4 linked regions of the Lonchura striata genome follow. The main gene of each other region encodes a partner of the protein of the gene in region 3 in a complex. Links are inferred from orthologs where the notes say so. Each region holds a gene or a part of one and is shown on either strand. Other genes may lie near its edges.

Region 1 (7,714 bases), on a different chromosome or scaffold from region 3:
TGAGATATCACTGTGATATCTCAGAGCAACCTCTAAACAAGAGTTCTGTTTTCTTCCAGCTTCTTGCATAATTCAAACACTATGAAGAGTGTAAGGATAAATAACAGTCCACTTGTAACAAAATGCAAAAAATCTGATTAAAAATAAACACCCTTTTAGTTAATGAAAGATGGATTCACATATAAATATATAACTAAAATTTCTAATTAGTCTTTGCATCTGAAATTTACATTTGAGGTTTTTCATTTTTTAAAAAAAAAAAAATTGTACTAAACACATGTCAAACTTTTTCCACTGCTTTCACAGACAAAGTAAGCCAAACTTTACGTATAGTTAAAGTACAGTGTGCATTGGTCAATTATTTTCTTCCAACTTTTTTTTTTTTAAATAAATTTTCTCTATTTTATCATGGCAAAAACAACAGCTAGACATTTTAATCATGAAGGCTCATTCCAAGCGTGTGTACTTGAACCATTACCCTTTTCCAGCTGCAGTGATGCTATGCAATTTGGGATTGTTTTATTTAACTAGTTTTGATTGTTCAACTCCTGCTGATTTGCTTCTTTTGGGTTTGCAGGATCAGCAGAAAATTCCTCAACATTCACTGTTACTGAAACGGTAGAATAACTTGTTTCTCTCACTCAAACCCCTAGAGGAGGTTAGTGGAATGAAGGCATAAACCTCTGAAGAATGGCAAGACCTGATCAGTAATTTATTCCAAGTATTAGATCTATTTCATTATTTTCTAGTATACTAACCAGTCAACAAAGAATTCCAGGTAACCTTCATCTGGTTTCTCCAGCTTCGGTGTCCCCATTTCAGCTTTTATGCCTACCAAGATATCAGTTTCTCCCTATTAAAACAAGAACACATCACTCAACAGAACTGTGTGTTTAATTTAAATGTCTACGGTAAACTGACATTTCTACCTTTCAGTTATCTGATCATTCTATCAGAATGAACTTAAAATTAACATTTTTTTTAAAAAACAAAAGGCTTTAGAAGGACAATATTAAGTGTAAGAAGATTCTTCAAACAATTACCATACATATTACCTGTCTTTAGGTTAAAAAGATTCTTAATATCCAAGACTACTTCTGTCATTTTGGTTCTGCAAACAGCTCTTTCTGCAGAACCTTCATAATGGTGCACAGTACATTTATCTTCTTCACAGTCAACATGTCAGAAGTAGTTTTGCATCGTTTTAAAGGAATAGAAATTTTTGCACCTCCCAGAAACTAGGCACAACAAGCAACTTCAGTTTTCAAGATTAAATGTTAAATTATTGCAGACTTAAGGCTGTTCAGGCACTTTACAGTAAATCCAGCTCGAGCCAGCCTGAAGTAATTATATATCCTACCATTATTTCCATATCCCATGGTTTCAGTTACTGCTATACACATACATGTTATACAGGTTATACACAAACCTATCTATAAATAGCATCAGATTAACTAGTCACATGAAGCAATTTCATTAGCAAGGTACCCAATCCCTAAGAAATTTACCTACCAGCTTTACTCTTGCAGATCCACTTGTGTTTGATACAACATCTGTTTCTACTTCTGCACATCTGTAGTCTTCACAGCCTCGACCATCTACACGAAGGTCTTCCTAAGTATGACAACCAATTTATTGTTGAGGGAATCAGTAGTGAAAAGTAAAAACAAAACAAAACAAACAAAAAACCCCCACCACAAACAAAAAACTCTGTGACTTTAAACTTTCCTTCTCCTATACCAAATGCAGCACTAAAAAGGATATAAAAGCAAAAACTTGTAGTTTCACCATGGAATACAAAAGAACAAACTATACTTTTTAATTTATATCTCATTTATGTAGAGCTTGTAACAAGCAATCTGCAGGCACCAATGAATTGCACCAAGTCCCTCTAATTCCCAAAAGAAAGCTTTGGATTTCAAAACTGTAAAGGTCTTGGCTTTAAATGGTACTTTACCTAACGCAACCCAGCTCTTTCCTTGGATAGGCAAGTTCTGTACTTTTACATCAGTAATTAGGACCCCAGCAGACAAAAGTAATACACCAGCCTCCCAAATGCTTTCCTCCATTTGTATTCCACAAATGAGTATTACACATCCTCTGATACTCTACAGCTCATTCCCATAAAAACAGGTTTTCAGTAAATTTCAGTAAGAATACAGTTCTTTTATCTTTGGGGCTTCTCCTTAAACACCCTTCACTCTTCCTCCATTGTCCACTCGTGTTCCTTCGCCAAGTTACAGGCTAAAACTCTATCCAATGGCAGTAACTTGAGGAAGAGCCAGGAAAGACCAAGGAAAGAGGAGCAGATGGGGGCAGAAGGATATTAAGCTCTTAGAAAGCATCCGAAGGAGGGCAATGAAGATGGTGAAGGGCCCTGCAGGGAAGTCGTTTGAAGGGATGCCGCGGTCACTTGGGCTGTTCAGCCTGGAAGAGACTGAGGGGAGACCTCACTGCACTCTACAACTTCCTCAGGAGAGGAGGGGCAGGCACTGATCTCTTCTCGGTGGTGACCAGTGACAGGACCTGAGGGAATGGCCTGAAGTTGTGTCAGGGGAGACTTAGGTTGGACATCGGGAAAAGGTTTTTGAACCAGATGGTGGCTGGACACTGGAAAAGGCTCCCATGGGAAGTGGTCACAACACCAAGCTTGACAGAGCTCAAGAAGCCTTTTGACAATGCCCTCAAGCACACGGTGTGACTCTTTGGGTGCTCTGTGCAGGGCCAGAAGTGGGTGATCCTCGTGGGTTCCTTCCGAGCCAGCATATTGTGTGATTCTGTGAAAACAAATCCACGTCCCGCTCTCAGCCTGCTTCCCGTTCTGATGCTCGGTGTGCTGAGTACTGCTCCAGAGGCTCGCCACCAGACAGAGCGGTGGAGGGCTCCTTCCCTCCCTCCCTCCTCCCCTGCCTCCCGCCCGCGGTACCTGCACGCCGTGCACGATGTACAGCTTCTCCGCCTCGCTCAGCACCACGGACGCCATGCCCGCCGCCTCCGCCGCACCTGCGCACTGCCGCGCTTCCTCCCCGCCTCCCGCCCGCCTTCCGTCCGTCCGTCCGTCCGTCTGCCGGCTAGCCAGGGCGGCTGTCCCGCCCGCCCAGCCGGCACCGGCACTCACAGCGGCGGCTCCCCTTGCCTGCTGGCAAAGCGGGGGTGCAGCCGGGAAGCCACAGAAGGCTTTCGCGCGGAGTTGGTGCAGCGCTCTGAGCGCGGTACCCCCCGGGCATCCCGGGAAACGTCCTCTCCGAGAAGCTGGCCCTCGCGGTAAAGCCACAGCTCCCGCTTTCTGCCAAAAGCTCCTCCAGGAGGCTGTGGAAATACCCTGGTGCGCAGAAATGGATCGCGTAGTCACAGTCTTCTGCGTTTCCTCCTTTTCCTTGCGGAGTTTTTAACTTCAGAAAGGTCCAAGCGAAGCGCGGTGCGCGGGGAAGGCTGGTGCGGGAGCAGGGAAGAAACCAAATGCTTAGGAGATTCTGTTGGTCCTGTGCCAGATATCACTGGGAAAGTGGGAAATGTGATTAAAAACTCGCGCTATATATTAAAACAATAATTAAGGGTTGGGTTTTTTTGACAGCTTTAATTGAAAGTTTCATAACAATCATTAGTGTAAGTTTGCATGCCTTTTTGCCTAGCTCCTGTGTAAAAATTTTCAGAGTATTTTAAAATATGCTATCTTGACTTCACGCTGATGCTTGCTTGGCTAAAAATGATCCATGGCTCCCAAGGATTACTCAGCACACTGCCAGAGTTTATCCAGCTTTCCACAACTCCTTGTTAAATCAAATGTGCAAAGCATTCCTGGCTGTACCTACTGGAGCAGGTGGCATGATGCAGTGGGAGCAAACTTCAGGAGGGATGGATGCTTTTGGAAGTTTTACCTAGGGTTGTATGGGGATTGTTTACTGTTTTTGGTGGGGAGAGCCAGCAGTGGAGCCTGGCAGAGCTGGGAGCTTGGGTAGCTTGTCTTCTCCACTCAGCCTGGGGAGGTGAGCAGGGTCAGGTCTCCTTGCTGGCCCACGGGAGTGCCATACATGAAAGGGCCCTGGTTTGTATGTTCTCTCTAAAATAGCATCTACCAGTGCTGCTGTCCAGCACAGACTGACCCTTCGTTTGACTTGTAGTATGATACCTGTGTCCTCACATTGCAGTCTGAACCAAACAAGAAGTAGGAATAAATCAAAAATTCCCTGAAAATGTGAGTGAATTATTGATCTGAAATAGTGTTAATGCAGATGCAGTCTGTGATTTCCACTGAGAGACCACAGGGAGATGACATTCTGGCTCTTATCTTAGTTCCTGACTCTCATGGCTTAGCCCACAGCAGCTAACAGTTAGAGTTGCCAGGCAGGAGTGATGTGTTAATTTTTTTCCCACTTCTGCCACCCCAGCTTGTAGTCTACGTAATGTTAGTCAAATTCTTGGATAGTCCAGAGGCTCAGCTAACAAATTTTGTTCACATGCAAAAAGCAGTTTTTTAAAGGTGGAAGGAGCACAGATTTGGCTCGTTTTTCCTCAAGGAGGGCAGAAGGCAACCTTTTGTCCTAAAGAGCACTTCTGAGGACATTAAAATTCCAGCACGAGGCAGTAATGAAACTTATCATACAAAAAAGGATGCCACTTGTTTCTTAGGTTTGTTGGGGTTTGTATGTTGGGATTTTTTTTAAAGGCAAAGCAGTATCTTTAATTTCATTGTAAATGAATTATGTGTGTTGGCCCATGTCATGGTTTGACACTGGCCATGGTTTGACCCACAAAAGCCTTTTGCTGATCTTCTCTTGCTCTCAACTGGGCAGAGGAGAGGAAAAAAAAAATTAATGAAGGGCTCAAGAGTTGAGATGAGGACTAAGAGCAAACAGGTTAAAATTTAAAGGTATAAAGCAAATTTATTATTAACAGAGTAGAGGAGGATAATGAGAAGTAAAATAAGCCTTTAAACCAACATTTTTTCTCTCCAGCCCCTCCCTCTTTCCCACCAACAATGCAGAGAGACAGGGTGTGGGGGTTTTGGTCAGATTGTCACTTGAGATTTTTTTTCTGTTTTTTCAGGGAAAGGAGTCTTTCATCTGCTATGCCCTGGGGTCCCTCCCATGGGCAAACAGTCTTTTTGAAACTGCTGTGGTGTGAGTCACTCGTCCACAGGGTGCAGTCCTCTGAGGATAGGCTGCTATAGTTTGGAAGCAGGGGCCCTCTCTCTCCATTTGGGTCTCCCACTGGATCAGAGTTTTCCCCAGCATCCACCCGCTCCAGTGTACTTCTCTCATGGTCTGTGAGTAGATCTCCGCATCCCCCATGGACCTCAATGGCTGCAGGGGGACAGCCTACTTTACCATAGGCCTCACCATGGCCTGCAGAGGAATCTCAGCTCTGGCTCTTGGAGCACCTCCTCCCCTTCTTTTTCCACTGACCGGGATGCTCACATGTCCTCACTTCCTCCTCTTCTCTGACCAGGAGAAAAACTGCTGCTTGTAGGTACCATTGCAAACAAGCTCCACCAATTCAAAAATCCTTGCAGGACCCTACAGCGCTCAGTGGTTGATCTTGTCTAGGTTCTGCACTGGGGAGTTGCTTGCCGTGTTTTCACCACCGGCCAGGTGGCCCCATAGCCACCAATGGGCAGTGGTGGCTGCCGCAGCACTGGTGTTATTGAGTGCCTCTCCTCATGCGGGGCACCAGGAAGGAGAAGGTGCCCCCACTGCCCTTCTGCTTGCAGCACAGTTGGCTTGGGGTGGCCAAGCAGACAAGGCTTGCTGTAGGCTGCATCCAGATGGCGATGGCCGCAGTGCCCAGATGGCAATGGCACTGTGCTGGGATGGCCCCAATGGCAGCACCTTGCCACCCCTGGAAAAAGCTGCCTGTGTGCTGTTTTGATTTTCTTCTTAAATAGAGGTATTACCAACCTGTCTAATTGGGCCTGCAGCATGTTCATCTTCAGAGCCACCAGAGAGATTGGCTTTGTCAGATGTGGTGGAAGCTTCAAGCAGCTTCTCATAGAAGCCACTTCTGGCTGTCTCCCACTACCAAAAAAACAGGCTATGCCAAATCAACACAGCCAGCCTGAGGCAACCCCCTGAATTGTGAAGATTTGCACTGCATGATTAATACCTGGGCAAGGCCACAAAGGCTGGAAGCGGTGGCTTGACATGGAGAGTGTCAAGCAAACTCAGCCCTTGCCCTGGCTCTGAACATGACAGCTGCAGTGGAGCGCTGTGTCACAGAATCACGGTCACAGAACAGGTACGGTTGGAATGGACCATGGTGGGTCATCGAGTCCAACCTCCCTGCTCAAGCAGGGCTGTCCTAGTGCACATGGCACAGGATTGTGTCCCGACAGTTCTTGAGTATCTCCAGTGAGGCATTCTCTACAACCTCTCTGGACAACTTCTTCAAGCATGTGGTCACCCACACAGCAAAGAAGTTCTTCCTCCTGTGAAGGTGGAACTTCCTGTGCATCAGTTTCTGCCCACTGCCCCGCATCCTACTGCTTGGCACTGCTGAGAGGAGCCCAGCTCCATCTCTTTGGCACACCCACACGCCCCTCCTTTTAGACATTTATACACAATAATGATGTCCCCTCTCAGTAGTCTCATCTCGAGACTGAACAGGCCCAACTCCCTCAGCCTTTCCTCCTAAGAATGATACTGCAGTTCCCCAGACGTCCTCACTGCTCTGCACTTCTCGAGTGCTAACAGATTTTGGATACCTGCAAACCAAAACTACCCTGAACCCGCCTGGGGCTCAGAGGTGCCCGCTGAGGCAGAACCCAAAACAAAAAAGTGTGGTGTTTTCCTCACAAAGCCCGCATTTCCCCCGGCACCCGCCCGCCTGGGCCGATAACGCGCAGCCGGCACAGGGTCCGCAGCCGCCGGTGCCCGTCCTGGCCGGGGCGCGCTCGGCGGGGCGGGGAGGGGCAGGGCCGGGGACGCGCTGCTCCCGCCGCCGCCGTTCACTTCCTGGTTCCTCCCGGCGGCCGCTCCACCTCCGCGCTAGGGGCGGGCGGGCGGCGGAAGGGGGGGTGCGGTGCCGTGCCGTGCCGTGCCGTGCCGCGCCGCTGCCGGCGCGGGGGCGGCGGGGCGCGCCGGACCCGCGGCGGCGGCGGCGGCCACTGGGGTAGGTGGGTGCGACTGACAGCGCGGGGCGGGGGGTGCTGGGGGGCGGGCAGGTGTGTACGCTGGCGGAGCGGGAACTGGGAGCAGAGAGCTGGAACCGGGAGCGGGCCGCCGGTGGATGCCATCCCGCCGCCGCCTGCGCCGCTCCGCCAGCCCCCCGGCCCCGCCGCTGTCCCCGCCGTCCCCGGCCCGCGCGGCCCCTCGGCGGTGCGGGAGCCCGGCGGTGGCGCGGCCGCCCGAGGGCGGCGCGGGGCTCCACATCCCTCGGCGGGGCCCCGGGCCGGGCCGGGCGGCGGGTCGTGTCCCGCAGCGGCATCCCCAGGACCTGTGGGCATCGGTCCGGAAACGGGAGGAGGGCTCCCGCTCTCACCTCGCCGCCTTCCAGCGCTGGGCTTTAAATACTGGGAAGCTGAACACGTTAAATGATTGCGTGCTAAATACGTGGTTTAGGTCTGCTCCGCGGCCTTTCGGAGCAGCGTCGAGTCCCCTCGGCAGGACATTTAAAGTCGGAGCCTCCAGCGATTTCGTCGTGGTCCTGTGATCTGTCAGTGGATTGCAGTGGTCCTGTAATTTGCTGATGCGTTGCAGCGATGGGACGCGCCCGCCAG
Region 2 (7,234 bases), on a different chromosome or scaffold from region 3:
AACCCCACAGGGGCCCGAGTGCCCCAGCAGCGCCAGCCCGGCCGCGCTGACGCTGGCCCCCAGCTCGCCGCCGTCCGCCTGCAGCACCTGGGGGGAGAGCGGGGTCAGGGGCACCCCAAACTCCCAAAATCCACCCAAAATCCACCCAAAATTCACCCAAAAATCCCACAGAGCCCGAGTGCCCCAGCAGCGCCAGCCCGGCCGCGCTGACGCTGGCCCCCAGCTCACCGCCGTCCACCTGCAGCACCTGGGGGGAAGAGCACTCAGAGACACCCCAAAAACACCCAAAACACCCCAAAATCCACCCAAAACAGCCCAGAAACACCCAAAACACCCCACAGATCCTGTGTGCCCCAGCCTGGCCGCGCTGACGCTGGCCCCCAGCTCACCCCTGTCTGCCTGTAGCACCTTCGGGGACAAGGGGTGACTCAAAATCCCCCAAAACACCCAAAATAACCCCCAGGATCCCCCAAATCCCCCCAAACTCTCCCAAATCCCCCCCAAAGCCCTGACCTGGACATGCACGTCGATCTGCGAGCGCGGGTAGAGCTGTGCCAGCACGGCGCCCTCCAGCACGCCCCGCAGCAGCAGGGCACCCCCAAACACCCCCAGACCCTCCCAGGACACCCCCAAAACCCCCAGGACACCCCCAAACCCCCCCAGGACACCCCCAGGACACCCCCAAACCCCCCAGGACACCCCCAAACCCCCCCAGGACACCCCCAAACCGCTCACCTGGACGTGCACGTCGATCTGCGAGCGCGGGTAGAGCTGTGCCAGCACGGCGCCCTCCAGCACGCCCCGCAGCAGCAGGGCACCCCCAAACACCCCCAAAGCCCCCCAGGACACCCCCAAACCCCTCCAGGACACCCCCAAAACCCCCCCAGGACACCCCCAAACACCCCCAGGACACCCCCAAGCCCCCCCAGGGTCACCTGTACGTGCACGTCGATCTGCGAGCGCGGGTAGAGCTGTGCCAGCACGGCGCCCTCCAGCACGCCCCGCAGCAGCAGGGCACCCCCAAACCCCCCCAAAGCCCCCCAGGACACCCCCAAACCCCCCCAGGACACCCCCAAAACCCCCAGGACACCCCCAAACCCCCCCCAGGGTCACCTGTACGTGCACGTCGATCTGCGAGCGCGGGTAGAGCTGTGCCAGCACGGCGCCCTCCATCACGCCCCGCAGCAGCAGGGCACCCCCAAACACTCCCAAACCCCCCCAGGACACCCCCAAAACCCCCAGGACACCCCCAAACCCCCCCAGACCCCCCCAAACCCCCCCAGGACACCCCCAAACCCCCCCAGGACACCCCCAAACCGCTCACCTGTACGTGCACGTCGATCTGCGAGCGCGGGTAGAGCTGTGCCAGCACGGCGCCCTCCAGCACGCCCCGCAGCAGCAGGGCACCCCCAAACACCCCCAAAGCCCCCCAGGACACCCCCAAACCCCCCAGGACACCCCCAAACCCCCCAGGACACCCCCAAACCCCCCCAGGACACCCCCAAACCCCCCAGGACACCCCCAAACCCCCACAGGGTCACCTGTACGTGCACGTCGATCTGCGAGCGCGGGTAGAGCTGTGCCAGCACGGCGCCCTCCAGCACGCCCCGCAGCAGCAGCGCTCGCTCCGCCGCCCGCCGGTCGCTGCCGCCCTGCGCCGGGCGCCGCCGCCGCTCGCCGCCCCCCGCGAACGGCGCCGCGCTGCAGCGGCAGCTGAGCAGCGCCCGGTCCGGCGGGGCCTTGGCCCGGGACCCCCGGACCTGGGGGGAAAGGACATGGGGGGCTGTGGGACCCCCGGACCTGGGGGGAAAGGGGATGGGAGTGGGGGGCAAGGACATGGGGGGCCTTGGCCCGGGACCCCCAGAGCTGGGGGAAAGGGGATGGAGTGGGGGGCAAGGACATGGGGGGCTGTGGGACCCCCGAACCTGCGGGGGAAACGGGGATGGGAGTGGGGGGCACGGACATGGGGGGCTGTGGGACCCCCGGACCTGGGGGGAAAGGGGATGGGAGTGGGGGGAGCATGGACATGGGGGGCTGTGGGACCCCCGACCCTGCGGGGGAAAAGGGGATGGAGTGGGGGGAGCACGGGCAGGGGGGGCTGTGGGACCCCCGAACCTGTGAGAAAGGGGATGGGAGTGGGGAGAATAGACATGGGGGGGGGCTTGACCCGGGACCCCCGAACCTGCGGGGAGAAAGGGGATGGGAGTGGGGGGCACGGACATGGGGGAGCATGGACATGGGGGGCTGTGGGACCCCCAGAGCTGGGGGAAAAGGGGATGGGAGTGGGGGGAGCATGGACATGGGGGGCTGTGGGACCCCCAGAGCTGGGGGGGAAATTGGAGGGCTGGGAGTGGGGGGGCACACAAAGGGTGGGGCTGGGGGACCCCCAGAGCTGGGGGGGGGGGGGTAAACATCAGGGACTGGGGGGACCCGGAGATGGGGAGGCTGTGGGACCCCCAAAGCTGCAAGGAAAAAAGGGGGGCTGGGGGGGGGGGGGGGGCGTGGGACCCACACAAGTGGGGGGGGGGGAGAGAAATGGGGGGAGGGCACAAATTGGGGAGGGGGGCTCAGAATGGGGGACCCTGAAAGTCCCGGGAGGAGGGGGGAGACTGAGGGGGGGTCACAAGCCCCGAGGGGATTCACGAACCCAGGGGAAGTTCACAAGCCCCGGGAGAGGCTCACAAGCCCCAGGGGAGGTTCACAAACCCCGGGAGAGGCTCACAAGCCCCAGGGGAGGTTCACAAGCCCCGGGAGAGGCTCACAAGCCCCGGGAGAGGCTCACAAGCCCCGGGGAAGTTCACAAGCCCCGGGAGAGGCTCAGAAGCGCCGCGGCCCCGCTCACCTCGTGCGGGCCGTACACGGCCGCCAGCACTTTGGTGTTGCCCTGCTCCAGGTAGGCCGAGCCGTCCGCCCGGGCCAGCACCCCGAGCCGGGCCCGCACCTTGCGCAGCTCGTCCGGCCGGCGCCCGTCCGCCCGGAACCCCGCGTCGGACAGCAGCTCCAGCCCCGCCATGCCGGCACCGCGTGAGGGGCGGGACTACGGCTCCCGGCGTGCCCCGCGCCCGGCACCGCGTGAGGGGCGGGACTACGGCTCCCGGCGTGCCCCGCGCCCGGCACCGCGTGAGGGGCGGGACTACGGCTCCCGGCGTGCCCCGCGCCGGGACCGCGTGAGGGGCGGGACTACGGCTCCCGGCGTGCCCCGCGCCCGACGGAAGCTCCAGCCCCGCCATGCCGGCGCCGCGTGAGGGGCGGGACTACAACTCCCGGCGTGCCCCGCGCAAGCCGCCCGCCAACGGGAGGCACCGCCCCCGTGACGCTCCCGCGGCGGAAGCCACGCCCCTTGTGACGCAACCCCACACAGATCACGCCCCATTCGGGCCACGCCCCCGGACAGAGACCACGCCCCCCGCGGGGCGGTGCCCCGGTACCGCCCGAGGCCCCGCCCCTAAACCACGCCCTAAACCACGCCCCCCCGAGGCCCCGCCCCTCGGCCGGTTCGCGGCACCGGGCGGGACCCAACGGGACCCAACGGGACCCAACGGGACCCAACGGGACCCAACGGGACCGGGCGGGACCGGGGCGGCCGCAGCGCCCCCTGGCGGAGCGGCAGCACCGGGACCCCGCGGCACGGCCCGGCTCCGAGCCCGGCCCGTCCCGACCCGTGCGGCTCCGGCACCGAGCCTCGCACCGGGGCAGAACCGGCACCGGTCCTTCCCGGACAGCGCCGAGCCCTTGTCCCAGCGGCAGCGAGCGCTCACCGGGGGTAGCGGACCGGACCGGAGCGACCCTTCCCCGGCTGACCCCTGTCCGGCCGGCCCGACCTTGTCCAGGCCGGAGCGGAGCCCCGGGGCCGCCGCTCCCGGTGCCGGTGCCGGTGCCGGTGCCGGTCCCGCCATGGCGGCGCCGCTCGCCCCCGCCGGGTTCCAGTTCGCCATCGACCGCGGCGGGACCTTCACGGACGTGTTCGCCCGCTGCCCCGGCGGCCGCGTCCGCGTCCTCAAGCTGCTCTCCGAGGACCCGGCGTACCGGGACGCGCCCACCGAGGGCATCCGCCGCGTCCTGCAGGAGGTGCGAGCGACCCCCGGGCCCCGGGAGCGGCGGGGACGGCGGGGACAGCGAGGGGACACGGCGGGGGGACAGGGGGGACAGCGAGGGGACACGGCGGGGGGACAGGGGGGACAGCGAGGGGACACGGCGGGGGGACAGCGGGGACAGCGAGGGGACACGGCGGGGGGACAGCGGGAACACATCGGGACCCCCCGAGTGTCCTGCTGGGACCCCCGGGACACGGCGGGGACACGGCGGGACCCCCGGGACCCCCCGAGTGTCCTGCTGGGACCTCCGGTACCCCCGGGACACGGCGGGACCCCCGGGACACGGCGGGGACACAGCGGGACCCCCGGGACCCCCCGAGTGCCCTGCTGGGACCCCCGGGACACGGCGGGACCCCCGGGACACGGCGGGGACACAGCGGGACCCCCGGGACACGGCGGGGTACCACGGGACCCGCCCGAGGTCACCGGGACCCCCGGGACCCCCCGAGTGCCCTGCTGGGACCCCCGGTACCCCCGGGACCCCCGGGACACGGCGGGGACACGGCGGGATCTCCGGGACCCCCCGAGTGTCCTGCTGGGACCCCCGGGATCCCCGGGACCCCCGGGACACGGCGGGGTACCACGGGACCCGCCCGAGGTCACCGGGACCCCGGGACCCCCCGAGTGCCCTGCTGGGACCCCCGGGAGCACAGGGACCCCCCTGAGGAACTCCCCGGGACCACCGGGAACCCCCAAAGGACCCCACGGGGACCCCCCTCAAATGCCTCTCACAGGGACCCCCGTGGGGAATCCCGGGACCCCCGTGGGGAACCCCCAGACCCCTCCCGGCCCCCCTAAGCCCCCCAGCCCTGGGCCTGCCTGGACCCCCTGCCCCAGCCCGTGCGGGGGGTCCCCAAATGGGTCTGGGGGTCCCCAAGTGGGTCTGGGGACCCCAAAATGGGTCTGGGGACCCCAAATAAGTCTGGGGGTCCCCAAATGGGTCTGGAGGGCCCAAATAGGTCTGGGGTCCCCAAATGGGTCTGGGGTCCTGGGTCTCAGTTTTAGGGTCCTGCAGGAGCTGGGGGTCCCAGGTGAATTTGGGGTCCCGGGGCTCAGTTTTGGGGACCCCCCAGGAGCTGGGGGTGCCGCTGTGGCTCTGGGGTCCCGGGTGAATTTGGGGTCCCGGGGCTCAGTTTTGGGTCCCGGGGCTCAGTTTTGGGGTCCCGGGTGAATTTTGAGGTCCCGGGGCTCAGTTTTGGGTGCCGGGGCTCAGTTTTGGGGTGCCGCAGGAGCTGGGGGTGCCGCTGTGGGTCTGGGGTGCCGGGGCTCAGTTTTGGGGTGCCGCAGGAGCTGGGGGTGCCGCTGTGGGTCTGGGGTGCCGGGGCTCAGTTTGGGGTGCCGGGGCTCAGTTTTGGGGTCCCGGGTGAATTTGGGGTCCCGGGGCTCAGTTTTGGGTCCCGGGGCTCAGTTTTGGGGTCCCGGGGCTCAGTTTTGGGGCGCCGCAGGAGCTGGGGGTGCCGCTGTGGGTCTGGGGTGCCGGGGCTCAGTTTTGGGGTGCCGGGGCTCAGTTTGGGGTGCCGGGGCTCAGTTTTGGGGTCCCGGGGCTCAGTTTTGGGTCCCGGGGCTCAGTTTTGGGGCGCCGCAGGAGCTGGGGGTGCCGCTGTGGGTCTGGGGTGCCGGGGCTCAGTTTTGGGGTGCCGGGGCTCAGTTTGGGGTGCCGGGGCTCAGTTTTGGGGTCCCGGGGCTCAGTTTGGGGTGCCGGGGCTCAGTTTGGGGTGCCGGGGCTCAGTTTTGGGGTCCCGGGGCTCAGTTTGGGGTGCCGGGGCTCAGTTTTGGGGTGCCGGGGCTCAGTTTTGGGGTCCCGGGGCTCAGTTTTGGGTGCCGGGGCTCAGTTTTGGGGTGCCGCAGGAGCTGGGGGTGCCGCTGTGGGTCTGGGGTCCCGGGGCTCAGTTTTGGGGTCCCGGGGCTCAGTTTTGGGGTGCCGGGGCTCAGTTTTGGGGTCCCGGGGCTCAGTTTTGGGGTCCCCGGTGAATTTTGAGGTCCCGGGGCTCAGTTTTGGGGTGCCGGGGCTCAGTTTTGGGTGCCGGGGCTCAGTTTTGGGGTGCCGCAGGAGCTGGGGGTGCCGCTGTGGGTCTGGGGTCCCGGGGCTCAGTTTTGGGGTTCCGCAGGAGCTGGGGGTGCCGGGGCTCAGTTTGGGGTCCCCGGGCTCAGTTTGGGGTGCCGGGGCTCAGTTTGGGGTCCCCGGGCTCAGTTTGGGGTCCCGGGGCTCAGTTTGGGGTGCCGGGGCTCAGTTTTGGGGTGCCGCAGGAGCTGGGGGTGCCGCTGCCGCGGGAGCAGCCCCTGGACGCCGCCGGGATCCAGTGGATCCGCATGGGCACCACGGTGGCCACCAACGCGCTGCTGCAGCGGCGCGGGGAGCGCGCGGCGCTGGCCGTGACCCGCGGCTTCCGCCACCTGCTGCACATCGGCACGCAGGCACGCCCGCGCCTCTTCGACCTGGTGAGCACACCTGGGCACACCTGGGCACGGCTGGCACTCACCTGGGCACGGCTGGCACTCACCTGGGCACTCACCTGTACCCAAACCCACCCCAAACCCACCCCAAACCCAACAACCCAAACCCACCCCACACCGGCACCTGCTGCACATCGGCACGCAGGCGCGCCCGCGCCTCTTCGACCTGGTGAGCACCTGGGCACGGCTGGGGCACACCTGGGCACGGCTGGCACTCACCTGGGCACTCACCTGTACCCAAACCCACCCCAAACCCACCCCAAACCCAACAACCCAAACCCACCCCACACCGGCACCTGCTGCACATCGGCACGCAGGCGCGCCCGCGCCTCTTCGACCTGGTGAGCACCTGGGCACACCTGGGCACGGCTGGCACTCACCTGGGCACTCACCTGTACCCAAACCCACCCCAAACCCACCCCAAACCCACCCCACACCGGCACCTGCTGCACATCGGCACGCAGGCACGCCCGCGCCTCTTCGACCTGGTGAGCACCTGGCACACCTGGGCACACCTGGGCACGGCTGGCACTCACCTGGGCACGGCTGGCACTCACCTGGGCACTCACCTGTACCCAAATCCACCCCAAACCCAACAACCCAAACCCACCCCAAACCCACCCCACACCAGCACCTGCTGCACATCGGCACGCAGGCGCGCCCGCGCCTCTTCGACCTGGTGAGCA
Region 3 (7,040 bases):
ATAACCACAAAAGCGAGTCAAAACAAACTCCTTAAACAACACAGAATCAAGCTGAGTGGATAAAGAAGGGAAATGAAGACCAACCAAAATCGAGTACTTCATTTAAAAAAAGGCTTTTAATATATAAATCTGAATACAAAAATAACCAAAACACCCTACAGTCATCACAAACAATCCTCAAGGTTTTCTCTTATCAGTTCCCTGACAGTTTGGCAAGCGCTTGTTTTCTCTGTTGTGCAGTCATATACTCACAGGCTTCCAAAATATTTACTATAATTAAAGTCTGTTGCACTGTTTTAGCTTTTACCCATATTCTTCCATTCATTCCCAGCACCAGCTCAAATGGGTACAATTGTGACAACTCTTGAATTATTTCACATTTGGGAGCCAAGAGCCTGTGAACAAGACAAAAAAAAAGTCAGAGGAAGGAGTGATCATGCTTACAGAGACCACATTATTATTGACCAGTAGCTCCAGCAGTACTGCTATTATGGGAGCCATTTAAGAAACACTGAAAGATTATAAAGTTCTATATACATCCAACATAGCAATACAGTATCAGATTTTCAAGGCTCCTGGCATATAAAATGCATGCACCTAAAAAAATAAAGCCATTATAAATTTACTTTTGTCATTAGATTCAGAAGCAATCCCTGATAAGTTTAAAGTTAATTGATACTTTTACACACAATTCTATGAGCAAATAAATCTAAAAGTACACAATTTGACCAAATGACATTTTTGATGTGCTATTTATTTGACACCCCAGAGGTGTCTTTCAAAACAGGACTTCCCTTCTATTTCAGGAAACAGTATTAACAGCAATAAATAGCCTACTTCATTTTTATTAGATGACAACATACTAAATCCTGTAATGCGTCTAGAATTAAATCAAGATTAGACAAGTATTCACAAAAAATAAAAGCATACCAGTATTTAGCAGTTTACTTGTAATATGCTGTTATTTTTTTTACTTGTATACAGACAAAACTTGGAAAACAGAATGGCTGCAAGAAGCTTTTGTATCAGTTCATGCTGACTTCTAATAGGACATATAAATCAGACAATGCCAGGTATGAAAAAGCTGCTCTGCAGTGCCAGATTGCTTATCCAAAGAATGACAAAACAAACAAAAAACTCCACCCAAAAAGCAAAAACAAATTTTGACTATTGTTTATCCATGTAATCTGGTATACTTTAACAGTCACAAAAAAAAAAGTCATGTATTTACATCAGCATAAGCAACTCCAAAGTTCACAATACATTTAAAAGCTTATGAAACAGTTCCTGGATTTATGTGTCAGCCTTAAACTAAAATCCAACATTTTTAAAATCTGTATTTCAATGTTATTTATTTTTATTTGGAAGTCAGAAAATAATGTGTACTGATGTGCAAAGATCCCTTTAATCAGCTGTCAGCCAAACATACACCCTCTATTACCCCCACGAAACAGAACAAGGACAATAAGCATTGCCAAGTTTTAAACTCCAAGGTAATATGTACATAGCTGAAACACTATCCTGAATGTTTGACTACCCCAAGACACTACTTTTATTTTCCATACTGCCTTGGCATCCACATCACTATTTTTAAACAGGTGATGTAACACCATACAAAAGAGCTTCTAAGTCTCTTAAAAGAAAAAATAAACTTTTCTTCTAGATCAATCCATACTCTATTCAGTAAATCTGGTTTCAACGCACTACAAGAATCACACAGTCTGATTTACCAAACTGCCCACACTACTCAGAAGAAACAGCTGTGGTAATTTATACGTGAGAGTGACTAATTACATTTTTAGTACTTACTTTCTTATTAGACCTAAGGAAACTTTAAAGAGGAAGCCGTCTTGTCCAATTATTCCCATGCCACTTGATTTTCCACTGCTGTCTATACACACCATCTCTGGTTCCATGTCTTTATTTGCTACAACAAACTGACCATAAATAAGATCTCCCACCTAAACAAAACAGTGTCAAAGAACAAAAGTACAGGATTTTATCTCTTATAATCATTTAGCAGGACAACAATAAAAAATATCACACCGATTTTGTTTTTCTTTACAGTTTTACCTTTTACATTCTGGTAATGGCATTTCATGGGAGTGCAGAAACTATGGCATGCATGTGCAACACAACCATTCATAACAGCGCTGTTAAAAGAACCCACACAACTAATATTTTCTACCAGCATCACGTTTTAAAACCCTAACATCGGAGCGCCCTTTCGGAGGCACCTTATGAACTGCATCTGCTCCTGGCAAACCAACACATGAGAGTGAAGCACCCAGCCAGCTGAGAGAGAACAAACCACGCTAGTTACGGTCCTAAAAAACCCCAGAGAGGCCGCGGCCAGTGGTGCAAAACGCTCTGAGGAGGACCAAGGCGAAACCATTAGAACCAGACCTCCCCTAACTTCCCCTAAGAAAAGCCACTGGAACGCGACACGGGCGCCACCAAAGGACGCAGCTGAAGCGTCACCGGCAGCGAAGCAGGGCACCCACCTGCACGTTCGGCCTGTTCCTCTTCGTGGCACCTTCGAAGGCCAGGTAGGACAGGGACGCGGGCTCGCTGCCGCCCACGTCCAGCCGGAACACGTCCCCCGCTTTGGCCGTCACGATCCCGATGACGTGGTCGCCCTTCACCGGCACGTACTGCAGCGGGCGAGGGGGACAGAGGGTCAGGGGAGCGCGGGCTAACACACAGACACACAGACACACACACAGACACACGGACCCTACCCGCTTCTGCTGCGAGTCCACCCAGAAGGCGCCGCCGCCCGCGGGCCGGTGCCGCAGCAGCCCGCACTTGGTCACCAGCAGCCCGGCCCCGCTGCGCCGCAGCCCCGGCCCGCACAGCAGCCGCCCCTGCGGCGCCGTGCCCGCGCTCAGCCGCAGCCGCTCGCCCTCCGCGTCCTCGTCGTAGTGCGCGGGCAGCAGCAGCAGGTCCCCGGGCAGCACCACCTGCCCCACCAGCGCCTCGGCCGGCGCGCCGCGCTCCGCCGCCATGGCCGCGCCTCGGGCCGGGGCGGCGGCTGCGCCCTGCGCCCCGCGCCCTGCGCGGAGCGGCCGCGGCGCGCCAGCGACACCGCCCGGCCGGTCCCCGAGCTGCAGCCGGCCCCGCGCCGCTCACGGCGCCTCCGCCAGCCGCCTGCCTTTCCTGCGGGAAGCAGCCCGCCTTCCAGTTCTGCCGGGGGGCGGCCAAGGTGATGTTCATTTCGCACTTACGCGTCGGAATTAATAAACACACGGAGCTAATTCTTCCAGCTGCAGTTACAAGGGTTTTGAATACCCGATTAGAAGTTGACAGCAAAACAAACAGCTGGTAAATATGAGGTGACCGTCAGCCGATGAGTTTGGCAGGGAGCAAAAAAGATCACATCAGTTGTGAAGGGAAACTGCTCACAGACAGATGGTATTAAAACAGTTGGAAAGGATCACAATGGGTCATCTGGCCCATCCTCCCTGCTTTAAGCAGGGTCATCCTAGAGCACGTTGCACAGAACTGCATCTAGACAGTTTTCAGTATCTCTAGATAGAGTCCACAACCTCTCTGGGCAATCCGTTCCAGTGTGTGGTCACCTGCACAAAGTAAAGTTCTGCCTCCTGTTTAAATGGAGCTTCCTATGCATCAGTTTCTGCCCATTCCTTGGTGTCCTAGTGGTTGGCACCACGAAGCAGAGCTTGGCACCTCCCCTTTAGATATTTATACATATTAATAAGGTCCTCTATCAAGCATCTCTTCTCAAGGCTGAGCAGGCTCAGCTCTCTCTTTCCTTATAAGAGATGCCCAAGTCTCTTAATGATCTTCATAGCTCTCTGCTGGACCCACTCCAGATCTTCATGTCTCTCTGTCCCTGCGGAGCCCAGAACTGGACACAGCACTCCAGGCAGAACCTCAGCAGACGGGCAGATTCACTTCCCTTGACATGCTAGCAGTGCTTTTCCTAATGCACCCGGGGGTACCATTGGCCTTCTTGGCAACAAGGGCACTGCTGCAAGACCTTGTTGTCCATCAGATCCTCCTCCACAGAGCTGCTCCCCAGCAGATTACCCCCAGCACTTGGGATTATTCCTCCCCACGTGCAATACCCTGCATTTGCCATAGCTGAATTTCAGTTTCTTCTCTGCTCATTCAACTCCATTTTTTTCAAGTCTCTCTCAAGGGCCACAAAACCCTCTGAGGTCTCGGCCTCTCCTCCCGGTTTTGTGCCCTCGGGGACCTTTCCGGCCAGGCCCTTCACCCCTCCGTCCGCTCCTGCGGGCGGCGCTGGGGCCGCTGCGCTGCCGCCGCTGTTGCGGAGCAACCCCGCGCGCTGGTAGGAGCGGAGCGGGGCCGGGCCGGGCCGGGGGCTGCAGCCCCGGCGCTCCGGGAGCTGCTGTCCGAGGGAAGGCGGGCGGCTACAGCAGAGCGGAGCAGGCAGCACCGGCTGCCGGGGACTGGCGGAGTGTGAGGGAGGCGGGTAACGGGCTCCGCGCCCCGGGGCAGGGCTGAGGAGCCCGGGCAGGGGGGCGTGGGCGGCGGCTCCGGGTTACGAGGGTGGGCACACTAAGGCCACCTGGAGCCCCCGTGAACGCGGAGGATGGGCTGTAGTCACTGTGTCAATTCATTGCCTGGGCTCTCTGCCCTGGCACGTTTTCAGCCCCCTTGGCAGCAAAGGACGGCTCCTGTGTACTTAGACTGGGCTGGTGGAGTGTGTGCAGAGATCTGTGCCTTTCGTAACTGTAGAGCGTTCAGACCCTCGCCTTGCACACATCTCTTAAAGATAGCTTTGACAGTTCAAACTAAAATTACCCTTAATTGTCCTCAGAGTTAGTTGCCTGTTCTCTGCATAGAAGTTTTTAATGTCCTGTTGTGCTTTTCAATGTTGTTTTTTTTGTTTTGTTTTGGTTTGGTTTGGTTTTTTTGTTTTGTTTTGTTTTTTTTTGTTTTTTGTTATCATGCAGCCCTAGAATTAGCAGTGTGTTTCCAAGTACTTTATGAATTATACATGTCCAAACAATAAGGTGGGGTTTAAGCATTTTTTTTTTCTGCAGTGATTGTTATAACTGAGCTGTCACTGGCGCCTTTAAGAGCTAAATTACTGCTAAATAACTTTCTTGTATAAATTGAAGGCTTAGTAAAAAGTATTGTCATAATCAGTGTTTGGCACCTGAAGCAAGAGTTCTTAGAGCCCCTAACTTAATTCTAACATTGATGTCTAATGTCTGTCTGTTTATTGTCAGTAGATTTGGATGGAGTCTCAGTATCTGAAGCAATGCCTGGGAAATTGTTTGAAGAAGGGACTGGCAGAGGTTGTAGAGCATCGGCCAGCAGATCCAATAGAGTATCTTGCACACTGGATTTACAATTACAGAAGAAACTTAGATGAAGAAAAAAAGGTAGATCTAACTTAGGCAAAAAAAAAAAAAAAAAAAAAAAGAAAAAAAAAAAGATTGCTACAATATAGTTGATGCTATTTAATATATCTTTCATTTTTATGTTTAATTGATTCTGTGTTACATCTGAAATAGAGAATGCTGGAGAGAGCTGAGATAGAGCAAGAACGGGAGGCAGCCCTAGCAGAACTTGAAAGGTTAAAAATCCAGGAAGAAGAGCAGCGGAAACTTGAAGAACAACGTCAGGTTATTAATAATAGATAACTCCAAGCAGCATATGGTGCTGTGGCATCTTGGAGCTCTTTGTATACTTCTAATAGCTATATAATGATTTTGATAAAGGTGGCATAAAGCAAGTATTTCAATCTCACTTTTCTGAGTAACTAAAATTATTAGTCAGCACATGGGTAGGAAAAGTTACATACTATGGAGTAAAATGTTATTAAAAAATGATGGCTGTTAAGTTAAAAGGCAGCCAATTTAGGAGTTACGTGAGAAGTAACTGAAAATACTGTTTGGGCTTACAGTATCAGAAGTAAATACAATATCTGTGTTTTTAGCCATTCTTTGTAAAGGAATCATATGAACTCAGTGTTGACATAGTGATGTTGGTGTGACCTGACTGGTTTTCTTGTATGGATGACTTTCATAAAGTTAAAATCAAAAGCTTAATTTTAAATTTATGCTGATCACATTATGCCCAGCTCTAGTGTAAGATGCATTCATTTTATTTCGTTTGCAGTTTTAAAATTTGGCCTTTAGTAATTTACAAACTAAGAGTAATGTGCTTAAGGGTTTCATGAGTGATATAAAATAGTAAATGAAAATAAAGAGATTGTGTCCAGAGATAATTCACTGAGAATTATACTCACATTAGATACATTTTTTTTTTAACCTAACTCAGTTTTGGCTGTAGTCAAATATTGAGGTAAATTTTGCTTTTATGTACCATAAAGGAATAGAAAATTATGACCATAATTGTAACTACTCACAGAATGCAAGAGCAAATAGTATTTGCTAAGGTTGTTGAATGTAAATACTTAGATTATGCAGTTTCTGAAGTTTGGATGTGATAGGACTTATGTTCACAATTAATAAACACTTCCCGTTAGATATTTCCAGTTGTAAGTACTAAAGGTTGCTGATGGACATGATTAATGCTAATGACATTGCTTGCCAAATTTTTCTATAGATTTGATTCTATATTGATTCATCCATCTGTGCTAGGTGCTACACAAAGTATCAAAGAGCTTAATCCAAAGGATAGGAGATAACTAATACAGATTGATAAAGAGCTTGTGTAATGAGACAGGATCTGAAGTGTGTACACTAACTTCACTTAACTGCTTTATCTTCCTCTTGGTAGTAAAGCCTCTTTATCCATAAGAGTCTCAAACCTTTGAAAATGTCAAACCAGATGATACTGAAAGGACTTTATTATTTGCATAACATAGCAGTTATGTTTTATGTTTACTTTTTTATTTCAATATTAAATACTTTGTAAACAATGAGGTGAAAAAGATAAATGTGGGGCTTGTTTCCTTTATAATTTGTCCTTTCTTAAACTGATTGCAGGCTCAATTGGAGAAAGAACTTGCAGAGTTGGAAGCACAGAAAAAAGAAGCTGAAATGCAGTTGCAGCAGGAAGATCAAGAGGTTTGA
Region 4 (7,198 bases), about 11 Mb from region 3:
AGGCAGCAATCCCTGCTGGGCACAGACAGGAGGGTGCAGAAGCTGTGCCAGGCTCAAGGAGCAAAGCTCAGCTCTGCAATCTCTGCCCAAGAGGGTGACACCCTGCCATGCTCTGGTTTTTGGTCTGTGTGTACCACACCCTTGTTCCATAGGGCAGGGCAAGCATGTGTGGCCTGAGGAGATGAGATACGTCCCCAGGCTATTCTCAGCCACGGCCCACACTGGTTAGTGGTGAGCTGAGACAGGCTCTGCACCAGGCTTGACTCCTGTGTGGGGAAACCAACCTGGTGAGGAGTGCCCAACACAGCTGCAGCCTGGGGCTCTGTGCTGTTGGCGTCACTGCAGCAAAGTCACTCCATCACTCCCCTTCACCAGCAGTGAAAATGTGCTTCCTTCTGCCCCTGCTGCTGTGGAAGCTGTTCCCTCACCTGCTGTGCTGTGGGAGCCAGACCAGAGTGCATGGATAGCCCTGGCTCCCCCACTTACTGTAAAGAACGAAGCAGGAAGCTCTCAAAAAAAATTTATTATCCACAAGTAGCAAACCCATCCTGCCAGTGGAGGCCTGGCTGAACCTGTGAAGGAGGTGGGAGCCCAGGGGCTGCTCTGGCTCCACAGCCACAGTGCTGCAGCCCCCTGCCCCCCTCAGCTGTTACGTCTGCAGGAACTGGGGCTGCACCCGGGCCACCTTACGGAACTCCTTGGTGTGTGTCCGTGGGCACTGCATCTCACACCAGCTGATGGGCACCATCTGCACCCCTGGGCACGTAATGTCAGACTTGCTCTTTCCCAAAGTTGCATTCCTCCATATGGAGAGGGAGGCAGCTGCATCAGCTGCCCCCAAGGCAGGAATGAGGCAGAACTGTTTCAGCCCAGTCCCTGTCTCTGTCCCTGTCCTGCCCTTACCTGCCTCGCTGCGTGCCACCACCACACCCAGCTCGTTCTCTGCTGTGCTCAGCAGGTAGTTGGACTGTGCATCCCCCAGGGAGATCTGGTTGGACAGGGGTTAAGGGACACACTTCCACAAGGGAGCTTGAGCCAACACGGTGTCCCTGAGGAGGAAGGATACAACTTTGGCCAGGACGATGTCACTGGGGCGGAAGCTCTTGTACACTTCTACCTGCACAGGAGAGAGCAGGCAATGCCACACAGCGCCAGGGTGCTGTCAGTGGGGGGACAGGGCCCCCACAAGCAGGAACTGGAGGGCAATGGGTGTACAACAGCAACTGGCAGTGGCTCACTGACCTTATCCTTCTCTGTGGCTCGGATATCTTCTCTCCTGAAAAAGGAGATGGAGGGATCTGAGTGCCAATGAGCAAAGACAACTCAACCGCCTGTGGCAGAAGCTGCCTCAGCCTTCCTGGGTGCTCACCAGGACGCGCTGGACACCAGCCCAGTGCTCAGGGCAGAGTTCCAGCTCAGGGCAGCCAGCTGCACTGCCCACAACAGCCTTCCTCCCCCTGAAGGGTGGGGAATCCTAACCTTTTCCCTACCGTATGGTGCCCCGGAAGGTGGATTTCAGCGGCGTGGAGCCAACATACAGGATGTGGACCTTGGCAAAGCGAGAGTTAATACTGCAGACCTGCATGTAGGAAAAGGGGAATCAGTGGTCCAGGCAGGGAAAGGGCAGGGAGCAGGCAGGGCTGCATGGGGAGCTCAGGTCTCACTTGGCCTCCTCCTCCCCGCTGTGACCAAGCAACGGTGGGACACCTGGCAGCAAGCCAGGTGAGGATGATTATATTTGTGCAATTCGAGGCACCAGAATAAGGCTGAGACCTGCAGTGATCTCAGTCCCTCTCCCTCCACTAGGAATGTAAGGAAACTAATCCCTGGTCCATGTCATCCTTTCTACAAGCTGCTTGAGGCACTGACCTGCATACTCCCTGTCCCAGGAAGGAGTTATGGAAGGAGAGCAAAGAAAATCCTCCCCTCAAGCCCACCTCAGTCTCAGGGCAGGTGTCCCTCATGCCAATACCCACTTGGTGAGTGAGAAACTCAAGGGAGCCCCTGGGCTGCCCCTGCCCTGGTGGGAGTTGTACAGAAGGCACTAAGAAGCCCAGGGACTCCTCACTCCACCCTATCCGTGTGCAGGAACAAAGCTCAGTATGAGACAGAGTCGAGGCCCATGCAGTTTGTCAACGCAGTGCTCCAGCGCCCCACCTTGCATGTCACCACAGCCCCCACGTTGGGCAGGAGCTGGGACTTGCTGTCTCTCACCACCGACACCACGGGCAGCTGCAGGGCAAGACACGAGCGTCAGCACAGGGCACAGCTTGTGCACAGAACCACCGGCCGAACCCCATCGGAGTCCAACTCCCTGCCGCAGCCCAGTCTCCAGAGAGGCCGTGCAGCCTGGGTGCACAGCACGCAGCCCCGGGGAGGAGCAGCCGTGCCGCGGCCGCGCTCACCTCGTTGTCCTCGTTCTTCCTCTCCAGGCAGCCAGCCAGCGAAGAGAAGATGAAGCCATGGCGAGTGTAGGTCCCGCTGCCAGCCGTGGCCTCCTCCGTGCTGCACAGCCGCTCACCTGCGACACAGCGGCTCAGGGGCTGCCGGGGACCGGCCCGCTCCGGCACAGCTCCCGCTCCCAGCCGGCCGAGTGCGGCGCATCCCCGGGACAAGCCCCTCCGCACTGCCTCGTCCCTACTCCTCTCCTAGCCCACTGCGCTCCCTTTCCGGGCGGTAGCATCCCCAGTCCCGGGAGCCCGGACAGCGCCGGGCCGCACTCACCGGGGACGCAGTACCGCGCGGGCGGCGCCATGCCCGCGGCCGACAACGCTTCACCAGCAAGCCCTCATCCTATTGGTTCTGGACGTCAATTCTGCGCTGTAAGCGTCGCGGCTATTGGTTCTCGCCTAGCCGACCTGAGGCATGCTGGGGGCTGTAGTCCGGCGGCGGCAGACGGAGCTCCCGGCGTGCCGCGCGCGGGCGCTGCCCGTGGGCCGGCGGGGCCCGGGCATGGCGGCGGCGGGCGCGGGCCCAGGTCGGCGGCGCCGGGGCCTTGCGAGGGGCTGCGGGCTTGTCGGGGCTGCGGCTGCCGCGGGGCTGGGCGGCGATACAGAGGGGCTGCGGGGCGAGGAGCGCGGGGGCCGGGAGGCGATGGGGATGCTGCGTGTGCTGTGCGGCCGGAGCCGGGAAGCGGTGCGGTCTGTGGCTGGGGGCAGCGGGGGGATGCTGCGGGCTGTGACGGGGCTGGAGGCGGTGCGGCTGCCGGCGTGGGCAGCCTTTGAGGATGGGGCTAAACACCGGGATGTCCTGGCTCTGGACAGAGAAGTGGGGCTGGATGCTGCTGAAGCGGGGGAGCGGGCGCTGTGCAGCCACCGGAGGGTGCCACAGGGCTGCGCCGGGGGGCCTGGACCTGGCGGGGGAAGGCCTCGCCTTTGCCCGGGGTGGGGCCAAATCCGAGGATCCCCACCCCTCGGTGTGATGTTGCCAGTGCTCCTGTCTGTGCTGGTTGCTGTCCCGTTCCCATGGGCTCGGTGCCGCGCCGTGAGCAGGGCGAGGGGTGGATCCCAGGGCCCGGCTGGGCAGGAGAAAGTTGCGTGGCTCTGCTGGAGCCTCGTGTCTGTGCTTACGCTGCTGTCTTCAGGCAGGTGCCTGGGGACAGCGGGTCTTGCTCTGGAGCGGGCTCCTGCCTCCCCTGTGGGTTCCCTGCCCAGCAGCTGCCGCTGCTGTAGGTGAGGAAGTTTCTCTGTGGGACAGGAAAGTGCTGTGTCTTTGGAGGAAAGGGTTGACCTCAACAGCTGCTTCTGGCTGCTGTGATTTGTCTTTTACCACACTGACAAAACGGGGACGTGTGCCATCCAAAGGCTGAACGGCAGGAAGTTGTTGCTCTATTTTGCACCTGCTGAGCTTCAAGGAAAAGCTCTTGGCATACAAAAGGGGAAATGTGGAGAAGAGGGTGATGCAGATGTTTGCATATCCCACCTCTGCCATACCAGGGCAGGAGCCATGTCTGTGACCTGGAATGGGCTGCTGGGTGTGGGGTCCTCATGTCCAGTAGATCCCAACTTTGGGGTCAACCCCACACTCCTCAGGCCCAGGGTGGAGGAGAGCCCTGGCTTCTTTGGGCAGCCCATGTGGATGGTGCAGTTTCTGCCCTCACCCTCCCTGCTGCTCCCCAGGGGCTGTGTTGGTGGGCACCTCAGCGCAGTGGGACGATCCCTGCTGGAGGCACCCTGAGCTCTGGCACCGGTGCCTGGCACCAGACCAAGGCAAGTGCTTGGCCCAAGCTCAGAACGTGCCTTGGCAGGACCCCGGGGCAGCCTCGCTGCTTAATATTGATGGGTATTGCCTGCACAGAGGCCTGGGGGCCCCAGCCCTGCAGATCGTTTTCCCATGTGCTGGGCCAGATCAGGTTCCTCGTCACTCCCAGCAAAGCTCTCAGGCAGGACAAGGGGCTCAGCGGGCAGGGGAGCACTGGCCCGGGGCTGTCCCTGGGCCTCTCATTTGCTAGTGTGTGGTACTGTTCAATGATTCAGGCAAGGAGAAAGAGGAAATGTTGGGACTCTTGGAGTGAGGCTGTGAGGTTGGGAAGGTGGCCTCTACCAGCTTGGTCCAGAAGTTGAGGTGAAGGGAAGTAGCATCCTTCACTTTAAGGAGGGGCTAGGGGAGGAGGGGTAATCCTGTACTGTCTCCTCCACATTTTCCTTGTGTGGATTCCCCTGTTCATGAACATGTTGGGAAGGGCTGAAATCATCTCTGGAAATGGCCCAGCATCCTGGATGTTCATGCCTTCTCTGGTTTCCTCTGAGTCAGACTCTCCGTGTCGCTCCCCCGGCCCCCTCCCCGCTGGGAAAGACGAGATGGGACCAGAGAGCACCTGAGCCCAGATGCTGAGGGGCCTGTGCCCCCTGCTCCGTGCAAAGAGACATCCCGGCGACAGCGGCCCCGCAGCCTGCAGGAGCCTGGGCTCAGCTTCTCCAGCTCGGCATCCTTGTCGGTTCAGGGAGCTGCACTACCGGCATCAGCACGGCCGGGAGGGGAAGCCCTTCCCGAGGCACAGCCAGGCAGCAGGGTGCCCTGCCCACGCCGAGCTCCTGTCCCCCCAGGCGTGGTGTGGCGGGGATGAGGAGCCGGCAGCGGATGTTCGCCGCGGTGATGCGCCTGCTCCTCAAGTGCCTGCGGCTGGGGCGGCGGCGGCGGTTCAAGCTGGTGCGGCAGGTGGAGCAGCTGTGGCACTACGGGCACCTCTGCCTCCGCTCCCTGCTCTACAACTCCTTCACCAATGGCGACGTGGTGCTTGACTCCCTCTTCGAGCCGGTCTACTGGCTGGTGGACCACGTCACCCGATGGTTTGGTGTGGTGAGTTCCCCTCATGGGGCAGGGTACACGTGGTGCTGGGGCAGCGGGCTCAGGGCTGCCTGTCCTTCGGGCAGGAAGTGAGCTGCAGCCTTAGTGTGCGGTTCAGATTGGTTTCCTCTGGCTCTGTCCTGCCCGTGCCTCTTCCCAGGCAGCAAGGGGCAGGCTCTGCCCACTCCAGTGATATCTCTGTCGAGGCAGGATGGGAATGAATAGACTTGACTCAGAAGGCTGCTGAGAGTAAAACTCCGATTTATTCAAAATACGCTGCTCTTTTATACAGAGCTTCGCAATGATCAAATCCATTGGTTCTGAAGTGAAAACAACCTACAGCATTGGTGCAAAGTGCTTGATGCACAGTGATAGAACTATAAACAGTGTGAAAAACAAGAGAGATAAAGGATTATTTACATTCTTTCCCAGGCTTTTTGCCTGGCCAGAAACTCTCAGTTTCTTTCTTTGACTGAATCTGAGACCCACACAGTGACCCAGGTCCCTTTTCTGTAGGTGTTTGTGGCACTGGTGATTGGGCTGACGAGCTCTATTGTGGCCATCGTGTACATCTGTCTGCTGCCCCTCATCCTGCAGACCTACACACCTGCCTGGATATGCTGGCACCTCGCCTATGGACACTGGAACCTCATCATGATTGTCTTCCACTACTACATGGCTATCACCACTTCACCTGGGCACCCACCACAGGTGAGGCACCAAGTGAGCTATGGATGGTCACTGGGAACAGCCTGATAATGTTGTTGCAGGATGCCTCTAATCTGGGAAGCTAGGCTGGGCAGTGCAGAGTGGGGAGGCAGCGGGGTGGCACAGAGGAGAGCAGGAGTTTGAGATGCAGGGTTTAAGATGTGCAAATCTCTTCTGACCTGTGCACAGGCCAAGAACGACCTCACTGGCGTGTCCATCTGCAGAAAATGCATTGCCCCTAAGCCAGCTCGCACCCATCACTGCAGCATCTGCAACAGGTAGGGCACCTTCCCTCTGCCCAGGGCAGCCTTTGGAACCCTGTTCCTCACCCCCTGCCCCAGTGTGAGACAGGGGCCCTTCTCCTCTGCGCTGCCACCTCCTTGCCCTGTCGCTTGTAGCCTGCAGGGCTGGGGGGTGCCTGTCCCCTCCCAAACACACCACTTGCACTGGCTCTGACACTGGCACTGGTCTCTTCTCTCCCAGGTGTGTGCTGAAGATGGACCACCACTGCCGTATCCTTCTGCAGTACTAACCAGTGGCACACTCCTGGGGGGAGCCAGCATTGCTTCTCCCTTCTCTCCCAGTCCCTTCTGTTGAGGAGACAGCCAGCATAGGAATGGGTGTTGGGAGCAGGGCGCAGAAGAACTGCCCTGGTCCCTGGGTTGGGTTTGGACCCATGGTCTGTCACAGTTATGTACCTTTAACCCCAGAGGCAGCCTGGCTAAACAACTGTGTGGGACACTACAACCACCGCTACTTCTTCTCCTTCTGCTTTTTCATGACCATGGGCTGCATTTACTGCAGCATCAGCGGCTGGGAGATGTTCCGGGATGCCTACGCAGCCATTGAGGTGAGCAGCCTCTCCTGCCATGCGCCAAGACTGCCTGGCTTCCCCAGGCTGAACTTGCAGAGCAAGGCTGGGCCAGGCCCAGCCATATAGTGACTTTGCTTTCCCTCTTCCTCCTCCTGCAAGGCCCCCAGCTGCTATGGTCCTAGGGGGGTGCGAGGGGAAGGGCCCCTGTCCCACTCCTCTGAGACACATAACTGGTGCCCTGTTTTCCATCCCCCTAGAGAATGAAACTGCTTGAGAAGGAGAGACTGCAGGTGGCTGCCAACCAGGTGGGACATCCCTGCCCCCCAGCTTCTCCAGGCAGTGTGGAGCAGAGCTGCCGTGCAGGCTGGGTCCTGCTTGGGGCTCTGTTCT

Evidence for each region.
Region 1: EXOSC3 (region 3) and EXOSC7 share a complex: the UniProt entries of both Homo sapiens proteins name them as parts of the RNA exosome core complex. The link is inferred for Lonchura striata from reciprocal best matches to the Homo sapiens genes EXOSC3 and EXOSC7.
Region 2: EXOSC3 (region 3) and EXOSC4 share a complex: the UniProt entries of both Homo sapiens proteins name them as parts of the RNA exosome core complex. The link is inferred for Lonchura striata from reciprocal best matches to the Homo sapiens genes EXOSC3 and EXOSC4.
Region 4: EXOSC3 (region 3) and EXOSC1 share a complex: the UniProt entries of both Homo sapiens proteins name them as parts of the RNA exosome core complex. The link is inferred for Lonchura striata from reciprocal best matches to the Homo sapiens genes EXOSC3 and EXOSC1.

Annotation. Positions count from the first base shown.
Region 1 is NC_134603.1:111,683,184-111,690,897, forward strand, and holds the start of EXOSC7 (exosome complex component RRP42), read right to left. Parts: upstream 3,004-7,714; 5' UTR 2,984-3,003; coding exon 2,927-2,983; intron 1,615-2,926; coding exon 1,513-1,614; intron 854-1,512; coding exon 759-853; intron 1-758. UniProt on the Homo sapiens protein: Non-catalytic component of the RNA exosome complex which has 3'->5' exoribonuclease activity and participates in a multitude of cellular RNA processing and degradation events.
Region 2 is NC_134603.1:819,368-826,601, reverse strand, and holds the start of EXOSC4 (exosome complex component RRP41), read right to left. Parts: upstream 3,014-7,234; coding exon 2,843-3,013; intron 1,761-2,842; coding exon 1,542-1,760; intron 1-1,541. UniProt on the Homo sapiens protein: Non-catalytic component of the RNA exosome complex which has 3'->5' exoribonuclease activity and participates in a multitude of cellular RNA processing and degradation events.
Region 3 is NC_134609.1:7,919,368-7,926,407, forward strand, and holds EXOSC3 (exosome complex component RRP40), read right to left. Parts: upstream 3,023-7,040; 5' UTR 3,009-3,022; coding exon 2,742-3,008; intron 2,655-2,741; coding exon 2,505-2,654; exon of another isoform or gene 2,475-2,504; intron 1,962-2,474; coding exon 1,810-1,961; intron 396-1,809; coding exon 194-395; 3' UTR 98-193; downstream 1-97. Other genes in the region: DYDC1 (DPY30 domain-containing protein 1), read left to right, coding at 5,235-5,381, 5,514-5,624, 6,954-7,034. UniProt on the Homo sapiens protein: Non-catalytic component of the RNA exosome complex which has 3'->5' exoribonuclease activity and participates in a multitude of cellular RNA processing and degradation events.
Region 4 is NC_134609.1:18,916,880-18,924,077, reverse strand, and holds EXOSC1 (exosome complex component CSL4), read right to left. Parts: upstream 2,781-7,198; 5' UTR 2,756-2,780; coding exon 2,725-2,755; intron 2,522-2,724; coding exon 2,406-2,521; intron 2,233-2,405; coding exon 2,158-2,232; intron 1,580-2,157; coding exon 1,491-1,579; intron 1,277-1,490; coding exon 1,243-1,276; intron 1,118-1,242; coding exon 1,067-1,117; intron 989-1,066; coding exon 904-988; intron 801-903; coding exon 643-800; 3' UTR 509-642; downstream 1-508. Other genes in the region: palmitoyltransferase ZDHHC16, read left to right, coding at 5,062-5,298, 5,803-5,997, 6,184-6,272, 6,478-6,506, 6,711-6,844, 7,066-7,113. UniProt on the Homo sapiens protein: Non-catalytic component of the RNA exosome complex which has 3'->5' exoribonuclease activity and participates in a multitude of cellular RNA processing and degradation events.